Danio rerio: one gene and its partners. The protein of the gene in region 2 interacts with the protein of the main gene of each other region in a pairwise test. Links are inferred from orthologs where the notes say so. Each region holds a gene or a part of one and is shown on either strand. Other genes may lie near its edges.

Region 1 (3,500 bases), about 30 Mb from region 2:
ACACAATAGTATGCATTTGATGGATACCATTAGTGACTAACTATGCTTCTAATACAAATAATTCACATTATTTTTTGCTATTGACTTCTGTTGGGATCTGTCGCTGAGAAATAAGTAACCTAACATGCTTAGTTAACCATCTAACCAGCCTAGTTAAGCCTTTAAATTGCACTTTGAGATGCTGGTGTAGCGAAGGCCAGCAAGCGAAGACGATAGAGGCATGGACATTAGCATCCTTGTTAAGCCTCCTTTCCACTTCACACGACAAGTAACAGACCGGAAGTCATTCATTTCCAATGGAGAGTAGTCCGGGAGCTGCATGGAGTTCTGATCATCTCCGTATGTAAAAAATTCAGATTCGAATTGAGCTGCGGAGCCGTTGAAATATTTAAACTCCTGCGACTAGACCGTAAGCGACCGGCCGACCGGAAGTGTTGTATTCCAGTGTTGTTCAAGCAGGTCCGTGCGCGCGAGATAAGAAATAGGACTTTATTTGGTTATTTTTTGAATCAGAAAAAGTCTATATTTAAAAACTAAACTAAACATTTCATAAATGTAAGTAATAAAGTAATAAATGTTAATAAATATAATGTTTTATGTTGTCTCCACATTCCCTGCAATATTTTTAGAGAACACTGCGAGAACAGCTTCTCTCCCATGGTGCACATCAGAACTGAAAATTCTGTGCGACTGCCACAAGAGGGCGTATTCTGATAGTCGTGTCCCAATGTTGTGTGCAGTGGAAAGGCGGCTTTAGAGCAACCGACTCCTATGCAAAGAATTGCTGGTTCGATCCCAGCTTAGACTGGGTTGGGTGCAGTAGGACCGGTGGGTTACACGTGGGGGCTCGTCCATGGGAGTGAGGTTTAGGGTGGGGGAGTTTAACGGAGGCCAGTAAGCAATGTGCTATGCAGGTAAACCTCTCTCCTCTAAACGCAAAAGGTGCTCTAGCGACAGGTGCAAGAGGTCACGGTCTTTAGCCTCCTTGTTAGAACAAACGACTGCCATGCTAACAATTACCGGTTTGATCCCAGCTCAAACCGGGTTGGTTGCAGTAGGACCGGTTGGTACATATGGGGGCTTGTCCGGGATGGGAGTGAGCTTTAGAGGGGTGAGTGTAGCAGAGGCTAGTAAGCAAAGTGCTATGCAGGTAAATCTCACTCCACTGATCTCAAAAGGTGCTCTAGCGACAGTTGTTAGAGGCCACGGTCTTTAGCCTCCTTGTTAGAGCAACCGACTCCCATGCAGCCGGCCCAGCCGGGACTTGAACCAGCGACCTTCTTGCTATGAGGCAACAATGCTAACCTCTGAGCCACTATGCCACTATACACCATATATATAAATCTTTTATGCTCACCAAGGATTGGGATTTGATCAATAAGTTCTTGGATCAAAATGACAGAATTGTACATTTAAAATACAGAATTAAAAATATTATGTAACATGATGGCCATTCTGCTTGAATCTATTACATTAAAATGCTATTTATTCCTGAGTTGTCAATGCAGATTTTTCAGCATAATATTCGCTCCAGTCTGCAGTGTCACATGATCCTTCAGAAATCAGTCTTGCAATCAGCTGAGTACTGTTGAAAGCACTGGACCTCAAACAGTGTGTCCACATTTGTGAAGCTTTAATTGTAGCGCAGTCTGCTGGCAGTGATGATGACAATCTTCTTCACAGTGCTTGTGTGTCCTGATGGGATGCAGGTGTTTTGTCCAGAAGGAGCAGCAGGTTTTTCAGTGTGAGACCGAGGCCGGGGTCACCTGGGCGGGGTGTAGCCGAATGGTAAATGTAAGCAGAGCGAGTAATTGGGCATGGAGTTGTTGCTGCTGGGCAGTGGGTGACTGTGGTAATGTTCAACCAGAGCAGCTAAAGAGGTGAACGTCACGTCCGTCTCCAGATAAATACGCTGCTCCTGGAAGTATACGGAAAAGAGATGGCAAGAATGAATAATTTGTTTGACTACAGAAGCTTGCTTTCGTCACATAAATAAACCAGTAAAAAGGCTATTGTGCCTTGTTCACAACTGCGTTGGTTTTGAAATTTGAACATTCATTCATTCATTGAATTTCTTGTCGGCTTAGCCCTTTATTAATCCGGGGTCGCCACAGCGGAATGAACCGCCAACTTATCCAGCACATTTTTACGCAGTGGATGCCCTTCCAGCCGCAACCCATCTCTGGGAAGAAATTTGAACAGTAGTTGTGAAATTTGAAGACTGAAATTTGCATTAAATATTGAACTTGAAATGTCTTTGATTTAAAACATTTTTTAGCACTAGATTTTTAAAATCTAACAATTTTAATTTTAATTCATGTTGTTGGAACTGCGAATATAACCTTCAAATTCTTGCAGTTTCTAGTTTTAACTAGTGCTGGGCAAATATTAACCGCAATTAATTGCATAAAAATAATTCGTTTTGACAAAATATATGTGTGTGTATTTGATATATTTATTTCGTACATATATATGAATATTCAAATAAATTAATATATTTGAGAAATGTATTATTTATATTTAGATATAACGTGTGCGTGTGTGTGTGTGTGTATGTGTGTGTGTATGTATATGATACAAATTTTATATAAATCTAAATATCTATGTATGCAAAAAAGGATTTGTATAGTTTTGTTTTTAAGGATGTGTTTGTTTTACATATACATATTAAATATTTATAACACACATCTTATCTAAAATCAAACTTTTATTTTGGATATAAGTTTGTTTTTACTGTTTTTCAACAGTTTTTTTACAATTTGTTTTTTGAGTTTTATATCACAATTGTTATTATTATTATTATTATTATTATTATTATGTTTTCATATTTCACTTAAGAGATCTGAATTCTGAATAAATCAGAGTTCTGAATAAATAGAGTTCTTAATAAATCTCTCAGTTTGTGAGTTTATGTCTTGTAATTCTGCATTTATGTCTTGCTATTCTGGGTTTCTTTTGTGTTTCAGAGTTTCAGAGTTTATGCCCTGCAAATCCTAGTTTACATCACATAATTCTGATTGTAAATCTTTTGCAATGAGTTGTTTATATCGTACAACTTATCCAACTATAAAACCATTCGTTCATTTATTTTTTTGTTTTTGCTTGTGCTATTACCAATATATGGAAAATATGGAAACACTAACCTCCTCAAAAAGCCTGTAGTTTCTGGCTTTGTTTATTCCAGAGTCCCAAACAACAAGTACCTGTGTCACATAAAAAACAAGGCATTAATCTAATACAGACAAATACTTATAGCAATCTCCTATAAAATAAATGACAGAATAAATAGTTTACTTTTTTAAGACATTCTATATTAGATTTCAAAAGAAAACAGTATAACAATTAATTAATTTATTTATTTATTTAAATTATGCACTTGACTATCTTTCTATCTATCTATCTATCTATCTATCTATCTATCTATCTATCTATCTATCTATCTATCTATCTATCTATCTATCTATCTATCTATCTATCTATCTATCTATCTATCTATCTAT
Region 2 (4,025 bases):
TTCACAATTTCCATAGTAGGACTAGACTTCCATAATCTTTAATATGAGTTATGATTATGATTGAAATCCCTCACCACACGTCCAGGAGGCTCAGAATGATTGTTCTGGCTTGATTCTCTGTGGATGTTGTAGTTTACGCCGGAGCCTTTGGCCACTTTCTCCATGATGGCCGCAGGTTCCACGTCATCATCTGATCGAGCGTTAATGGTCACGTGTGCACCCTTTAATTCAACACATAACAGATTAAAGTTATGATGGTGTTTATTTGCATGACATAATGCGACAAATAAGAGAATGACTTGTATTTTAAACTCACTCTCAGAAAATTGGCCATTGAGTGAACATGTCTAGCGCAAACACCCTTTCTGAGGTCCTTGACTCCCTCGCCGGTCTAAAACCAAAAGAGGATTCATATCAATGAAGCTGTGAATACATTTTAAAGCTTTCGGTGTTGCTGCATTTTTTTAAAGTAAAAAGTATTCGCCCTCCTGTGAATTTTGTTTTCAAGTATTTCCCAAATGATGTTTAACAGAGCAAGACATTTTTCACAGTATTTCCTATAATATTTTATCTTCTGGAGAAAGTCTTCTTTGTTGTCAGTGTTGCCAGATCGGGTGATTTTGAATTTGATTGTGTGCATAGGCGGATTGACAAAATTTGTGCAGTTTTGAAACGTACATTTTACATGCAACATATAACCTCAACATGTTAACAAAACATAACTGTGTGGTCCTACTCCGTTTAGTTAGTAGTGACCAGTGCTGGCGAGGCAGTGGCGCAGTAGGTAGTGCTGTCGCCTCACAGCAAGAAGTTCGTTGGTTCGAACCTCAGCTCAGTTGGCGTTTCTGTGTGGAGTTTGCATGTTCTCCCTGCCTTCGCGTGGGTTTCCTCCGGGTGCTCCGGTTTCCCCCACAGACCAAAGACATGTGGTACAGGCGAATTGGGTAGGCTAAATTGTCCGTAGTGTATGAGTGTTTGTGTGTGGATGTTTTCCCAGAGATGGGTTGCGGCTGGAAGGGCATCCGCTGCGTAAAAACTTGCTGGATAAGTTGGCGGTTCATTCCGCTGTGGCGACCCCGGATTAATAAAGGGACTAAGCCGACAAGAAACTGAATGAATGAATGACCAGTGCATATTGCAATCCGCGTGGGCCCATCCGCATTTTAATAAATAATATGAATAATTCTCTGGATAATTACTGTTTTTACATTACTGTAAGGGTTGGGGTTGAGGTAGACATTAATAAAATACAATTGACTGGGTAATTTAATAAATATTATGAATAATTCTTGTTAATGTCTGACATTATGACTTAATGTCTGACATTTAGACATTAATGTCTGACATTTAGACTTTACAGACCTGAAACTTGCCTACAGCACTTATTCATTGTTGCTCTTAGTTGTGTAAATTGCTTCCTTGTCCTCATTTGTAAGTCGCTTTGGATAAAAGCGTCTGCTAAATGACTAAATGTAAATGTAATATTTGAGTGAACTATTCATTCATGAAGCATTTTTTATTTGTACATCCAGCTCTGAATATTTTTCTGTTCATACCCAGTTGATGAGCACAAATTTGGGCACTCCAGAGCTGGGGTCCAGCACTCTACAGAAGGCATACATGACTTTACCACTGTTCAGTTCGTCCACCATTTCTTCAAGCCCACCATCTAAAAAAAATGAGAGAAACACAAACCAGCATATGAAACTGTGGACTGCTGACTCATCAATAAGACAAAAAAAAAAAAAAAAGCATGACGTCAGTCTATTGGCACTCTCATCTCATCTGAAGAAAACACTCACCTCCCTTCCCTGCAACCCGAATGTCATTACTGTTTCCTTCATAGGTGAACAACACCCTGTTTAAAAAAAAAATTACATTTCATGCAAGATTATTAACAGAATAGGCTATTATAAATGTAAAATACTCGCCAAGAAGTAACCAGCCATTCTGTTTTTTTTTTGCACAGGTTATATGTAATAGCTCATAAAACAAATTTGAATATTGTTTTGAAAATAAATGAAAAAATACTAAAGTAAACACTAGAGTATTTTGAATTCTATTGTTGCAGTAGTACATCAACTATATTAGTACTAATATAAACAACCCAACTTTACTGCAACTACATTGTTATTATACTACATTGTTATTATACTACACCACAGTTTACTGTAGTAAAAACTAAAGTGCACTGCTGTATTTATTATAGTTCACTATAGTTAATAATACTACATTATGCTTTATCATTCACTAACAAAAGTGTTGTAAACACTATACACTCAAAAAAATTACGTTTGCTATTTGTTTAAACGACTTATTTAAAATGAGCTGAAACAACACAATTTTTGAGTTTTTTTTTAATTGGGACAACTTAATTTTTTCATTAAATCTACTTAAATTTGTAAAAACTAATAAGTTAACTCTTTCATGTTGTCCCAACGCAAATCGAGTGTACAGTGTATACAATAATACGCTTTGCTATATGCTTCAAAAACACTATTTACTCTAATTACTATAGTATTTTTAATGTTGGATGCCAGATTCTCTTGAAATGGCAAAGTTAATTACGTAAAGTAAATATAATGATTACTTATTCTTTAAAAAAAAACATGTCATTCGTCGATTTATTTTCGAGGTGTTGATGTGTGATGGAGTTTTCTTACCAGTCTTTTTTCCCGCTCACCACCTCATCATATGCTTCTGTAAGCGCGGGTCCGTTTTTACTCAGGTTTACCGCCATTGTGGATCATGAAATGAATGAAGTTGTGGATATTTTTAATGGAGATATAATCATAACCAGTCTTCCTCTTTCGTTTGAGCGTCCTTTGTCGTGTTAAAAACGCACCTGTCTCTTGAAATCTGGTTCGGCGAGTTTTTGGGAATTGAAAGGAGGAAGAGAAAGAGCTTCCCAGCAAGCCATAACTATTTAAATGATTTAAACAGGGACAAATATTGAATTTTGTGTGTGGTAGAAATGCATTACAGCGAGAACACTGTTAAAATTGTTAAAATGGTCAACGTGTTAGCATTGGGAATCATTTTACAGAATCGACTCTTTTGAAGAGAACCGATCAAATGATTCACGGATATTTTTGTTTTGTTTACGCGTTATTTATGTTTACTTTTTCATTGGATATGATATGTAGCGTCAAATAATTCAATTTAAGAATTAGTGTTAATTATATTAATGTTAGCATTGTCCATCATGTTAACAATCGGTTGGATTGAATCAGTTCAAACGAACTATTTGTTCATGAGTCGCACCTTACTTAGCATATATCTATTGATCAATCTAAGGGCGGTTCACGAGGTCACACGTGGAACTAGTTGGACTTGTACAATCACATTACTGTAATTACTTAAAGAATAGACTGAACAAAGCTATAATGCAAATCCTTTTCTTCAGAGTTCATAGATTGAAGAGCAAGAGAAATTGCGATCTGAAATACCACCGGTAAAGGTGTCAGTGAAGTATGTTATGCTATGTTGTGGTGTATTATTGCTTTTAAATAATGCTCCACACTCTATCCTAAAAGTTTTATATGTGTATGTGAAATTCAAAAACAATTACAGCTTTTCCAAACAATTCACACACAGATTGCCGCTGAAAATACTTTTGCAGATTGCACTGTTACCATACTTATTGTGCCATTTTTGTTTGTGACATGCATTTACAAATGCAAATTATGATACTTATTTAGACTTTTTGTTTGCATGCATCTTTTCCAATTGGCTCTAAAATAAAACACGCAGTTATTTGTTTGACCGCACGATGGCGCACTTTTCACGATTTTGACTCCTTTGTATTTCTATTGACTTAATTTGTATTATGCCCGAAAACTGGAGCAACATGTCAACTTGTAGAGAAAAGGCTTTTATGAAAAATGAAAAATCTTCTGCCATCACACAGTGAAAGGAATTCTGAGGGAAGTCTGCATGTGTTTTGCCCATGTGGCCCCCCAAATCTATTATTTCACACTACATTTGAAACAAATTAACTCAGCGCTTCAGTCTCCTCAAAGGTT
Region 3 (3,500 bases), about 40 Mb from region 2:
AACTGTCAGTGGGCTGCCATCTTTCATAAGAGACGTTAAACCAAGGTCCTGACTCTCTGTGCTCATTAAAAATCCCATGGCACTTCTCAAAAAGAGTAGGAGTCTATCGCCAGTGTCCTGGCCAAATTCCCTCCATTGGCCCTTACCCATCATGGCCTCCCAATCATCCCCATCCACTGAATTGGCTCTATCACTGTCTCTCCTGGTGTGGTGAATGCACTGGCGCTGTCTGCTGTGGCTGCCGTCGCACTACCCAAGTGGATGCTGTATACTGGTGGGGGTGTGGAGAGACTCCCCCTCATAATTGTGAAGCGCTTTGGGTGTATGGCCATACACAATAAATGTGCTATATAAATACACTTTACATTACATGTAACAAATTGTGGTTATGTGTATATGAAACTACGAATAACAGATGTAGCAGGACATTAAATTACTGTTTATTTTTGTGCATTTTAACTTTGTAAACTAAAATCATGCCTCACCTCACGGTTTGTGTCTCATTTTGTGAGCTGACAACAGTTGTTCGCTTCCCTCTTTTTCCCCTGCTTTGCCGACCACGCCCACTCCTTCCTCTGCTCTCAGCGCTCCACGCCCATCTCGGTGCTTTTTTATTTTTTATTTTTTAATTAGGAGGTAGATCGAAAGAGGGTTTTAACTCCCCTTACTGTAAAACACATTTGTACTGTCCTGTTTTTAATTTTTCCAGAAGGATTTTTTATGAAATGAACTCTCTTAAGGACATGCAGTGACAGCAGAAAAAATAATGATTTTTTTATCATGTAGTAACACTAAAATCTTATTCAATTTATTTATTTTGTTTTTTATTGTAGATTTATTATTAAAGTATTCTTGCCATGAAAATAGCTTTGGTTGCTGACATGGCATTAAACAAAAAATATACATTACATTACATTGAGATAATTTTGATAAAAATTAATTTATTCTGGACTTTATTATAAAACATTTAACACCAGTTTTTGCTGTTTAATTTTTTTGTGGACGCCATCACAGGAGTCTTCTACTAATAATGCTTAATGCGTTTACTTGAATTAAGTTTGATATGTCAATTTAAGTATGGATTTTTAATGATCAGTGTTGAGAGAGTATTTTGATTTAAAACCTTGCAGTGTACTTGGAATTTTCTCTGTATTTAATATAAATAAACATATCAAAGGGTATACTAATCTATTTAATAATCAGTAATCTAAGTACACTCTGCTAAAACGGGGTAAACAAATCTCTATCTTGATCCCCACCTATCTCTCTAGTGCTAATAATAGAGATATATTCATCATATCTGTCACCTCTTTTTATTCAAGACTCATTCATCTCAGGAATGTGGTACTGCAGGCTGTGTAATTACGTGTTTTGACACGGATTTCCCCTCAACGCATCATCTGTTGTGCAAAGCCGCTTCTAGTTCTCTTGTTATGTACAGTAAATATGTTTAACAGACCAAATATGAACTGAATGTTGTGAACAAAGTCTCAGGAAATATCTTTACATGGCTTCATGGCTGATGGTCTGGGATTTGATCCAGTTTGTTTCTTCTGTTCTGTCTGGCAGGAAAGGCGGTATGCGGCGCTCACAGTCAACGTCCAGTCGAGAACATATTATTCGTTGGTTTAAGGAGGAACAGTTGCCCCTCAGAGCAGGGTTTCAGCGCGATCAAAGCCGGATCGCCACATGGTTTCACGGTGAGAATCAATTTAGGCAGAATCCAGAATTGTTTCTTAAAGCACACAATGAGAAAATTAAAATTCTGCCATCATTTACTTACTTACCCTTGACCTACATTGAACACAAAGGAAGATATTTTAAGGAATGTTAGAAACCTGCAACCTTTGACTTCTGTAATATTTGCTTTTCCTACTATGAAAGTAAAAATTTTCCAACATTTTTTTTTTAATATCTTCTTTTGTATTTAACAGAATGATGAAACTGAAACAAGAAAAAGTTTCTGCAGTCTTTACTCAATTATAAATAAATGAAAAGCTACAGATCAAGAAGGTAAATGACTAAAAATGAACTCTCAGTAATGATTTTAAATCACACTGAACTGAGCTGAACTGAACTGAACTTAAACACTAAAAACTGAACTACACTGTTCCAGTTACTATGACCATTTATGTGAAGCTGCTTTGAGACAATCCACATTGTAAAAGCGCTCACCAGGGCACCCAGGGCTCAAATAATAGATTCTTCAAATTTTGTAGACCCTTCCTGTCTTTCCAAACAGAGCTATTGAATTAGTCTATATCAAGTTAATACAGTATATAGAGATTTCCTACAACCGATAACATGATCTGATTTTATCTACAGGTATAATCTCCCGTGAGCAGGCAGAGGAACTGCTGAGCGGTGGTGAGCCCGGGCTTTTCCTGGTCCGCGTCAGTGAGAGGATCTTTGGATATGTGCTTTCCTACCGATTCAAGGATGGAATCAAACACCTGCTGATTGACTCCTCGGAGAACTGCTACATGCTGCTGGGAGACCAGATCAAATTCAGCTCCCTCAGTGAACTAGTGGAGTATCATCAGGTAATGTGCTGTACCAACGCAATCTCACGGCAACTCGTAACTTTTTGATTTAGCGGCTAATTCGAATGAATTTGTACGATTACACTCGTACAGTTTACAGACCCCCTAGTTTTTGGGAATTTTTTTATTTTTTTATTTTTTGGTGATTTTTCATGATAAAAATGACTGATTTTGTGGCGGAAATTTGCGGACAGTTTTGTGACTTAAAATATATATACATACATGTGAAAAAGTATATACATATAATCTATTTACCAATATTTACCATATTGGGTAGCCTGCTATGATAGGCGTGCAATCTGACACAATAACAAGGACAGGGGCGCCTGCAGGATTTTATTCGAAGGTACTCACAAATCCAGCACTGCCCCGCCCCGTCCCCTTCCCCTTACCCCAATCATATCAAGAAACACTGATGCTTACTGTCAAAGGCTACATTAAGGATATTCGTTATGACATTTATTTGTTTCTTTTTGTCATTTATTTGTTTCCTTTTTAAAATTAATATGTTTTCTTTGAAATCTAAATGTAATAAAAGCACATCAGCACAAAGGAAAAATCAGATGCTCGAGACGTAATCTTTAAAATTAAGACATATTAAAAAATTGCAAATATATGACAGAAGATTGTGATACAATACAATTAGTGAAGCAATAATTAAATCCTTACTTTACACTGACCGAAAATCATCCACCTGCACAGTTGAGTAGTAAACGGGCTCAAACAAAAATATATATTTTCTTGGAAAAAATATCTTTTTATAAAACGAATTTCGTATATAGTTTGTCTCTTTGTTTAACTATTTTTCTTGGTCAGTTATCTTCTAGATACAATAGAAGAACGAATAACATTTGAGTTGAAGTGCTTCAAAACAAATCTGCTATGCTTCAACAATACCAAAGCACGAACTGGATTGTCAAATAAAATAATAATCTAGCCTAAATAAAATTAAAGTGA

What was found.
Region 1: the proteins of dbnla (region 2) and sh3bp2 interact in binary tests that used the Homo sapiens proteins (3 or more experiments, as listed by UniProt). The link is inferred for Danio rerio from reciprocal best matches to the Homo sapiens genes DBNL and SH3BP2.
Region 3: the proteins of dbnla (region 2) and sh2d4a interact in binary tests that used the Homo sapiens proteins (3 or more experiments, as listed by UniProt). The two-hybrid records come from large-scale screens. The link is inferred for Danio rerio from reciprocal best matches to the Homo sapiens genes DBNL and SH2D4A.

Annotation. Positions count from the first base shown.
Region 1 is NC_133185.1:17,519,549-17,523,048, reverse strand, and holds part of sh3bp2 (SH3 domain-binding protein 2), read right to left. Parts: intron 3,204-3,500; coding exon 3,144-3,203; intron 1,919-3,143; coding exon 1,763-1,918; 3' UTR 1-1,762. UniProt on the Homo sapiens protein: Binds differentially to the SH3 domains of certain proteins of signal transduction pathways. Binds to phosphatidylinositols; linking the hemopoietic tyrosine kinase fes to the cytoplasmic membrane in a phosphorylation dependent mechanism.
Region 2 is NC_133185.1:47,603,972-47,607,996, reverse strand, and holds the start of dbnla (drebrin-like a), read right to left. Parts: upstream 2,801-4,025; 5' UTR 2,741-2,800; coding exon 2,664-2,740; intron 1,859-2,663; coding exon 1,803-1,858; intron 1,670-1,802; coding exon 1,557-1,669; intron 392-1,556; coding exon 317-391; intron 222-316; coding exon 75-221; intron 1-74. UniProt on the Homo sapiens protein: Adapter protein that binds F-actin and DNM1, and thereby plays a role in receptor-mediated endocytosis.
Region 3 is NC_133185.1:7,462,955-7,466,454, reverse strand, and holds part of sh2d4a (SH2 domain-containing protein 4A), read left to right. Parts: intron 1-1,569; coding exon 1,570-1,700; intron 1,701-2,325; coding exon 2,326-2,543; intron 2,544-3,500. UniProt on the Homo sapiens protein: Inhibits estrogen-induced cell proliferation by competing with PLCG for binding to ESR1, blocking the effect of estrogen on PLCG and repressing estrogen-induced proliferation. May play a role in T-cell development and function.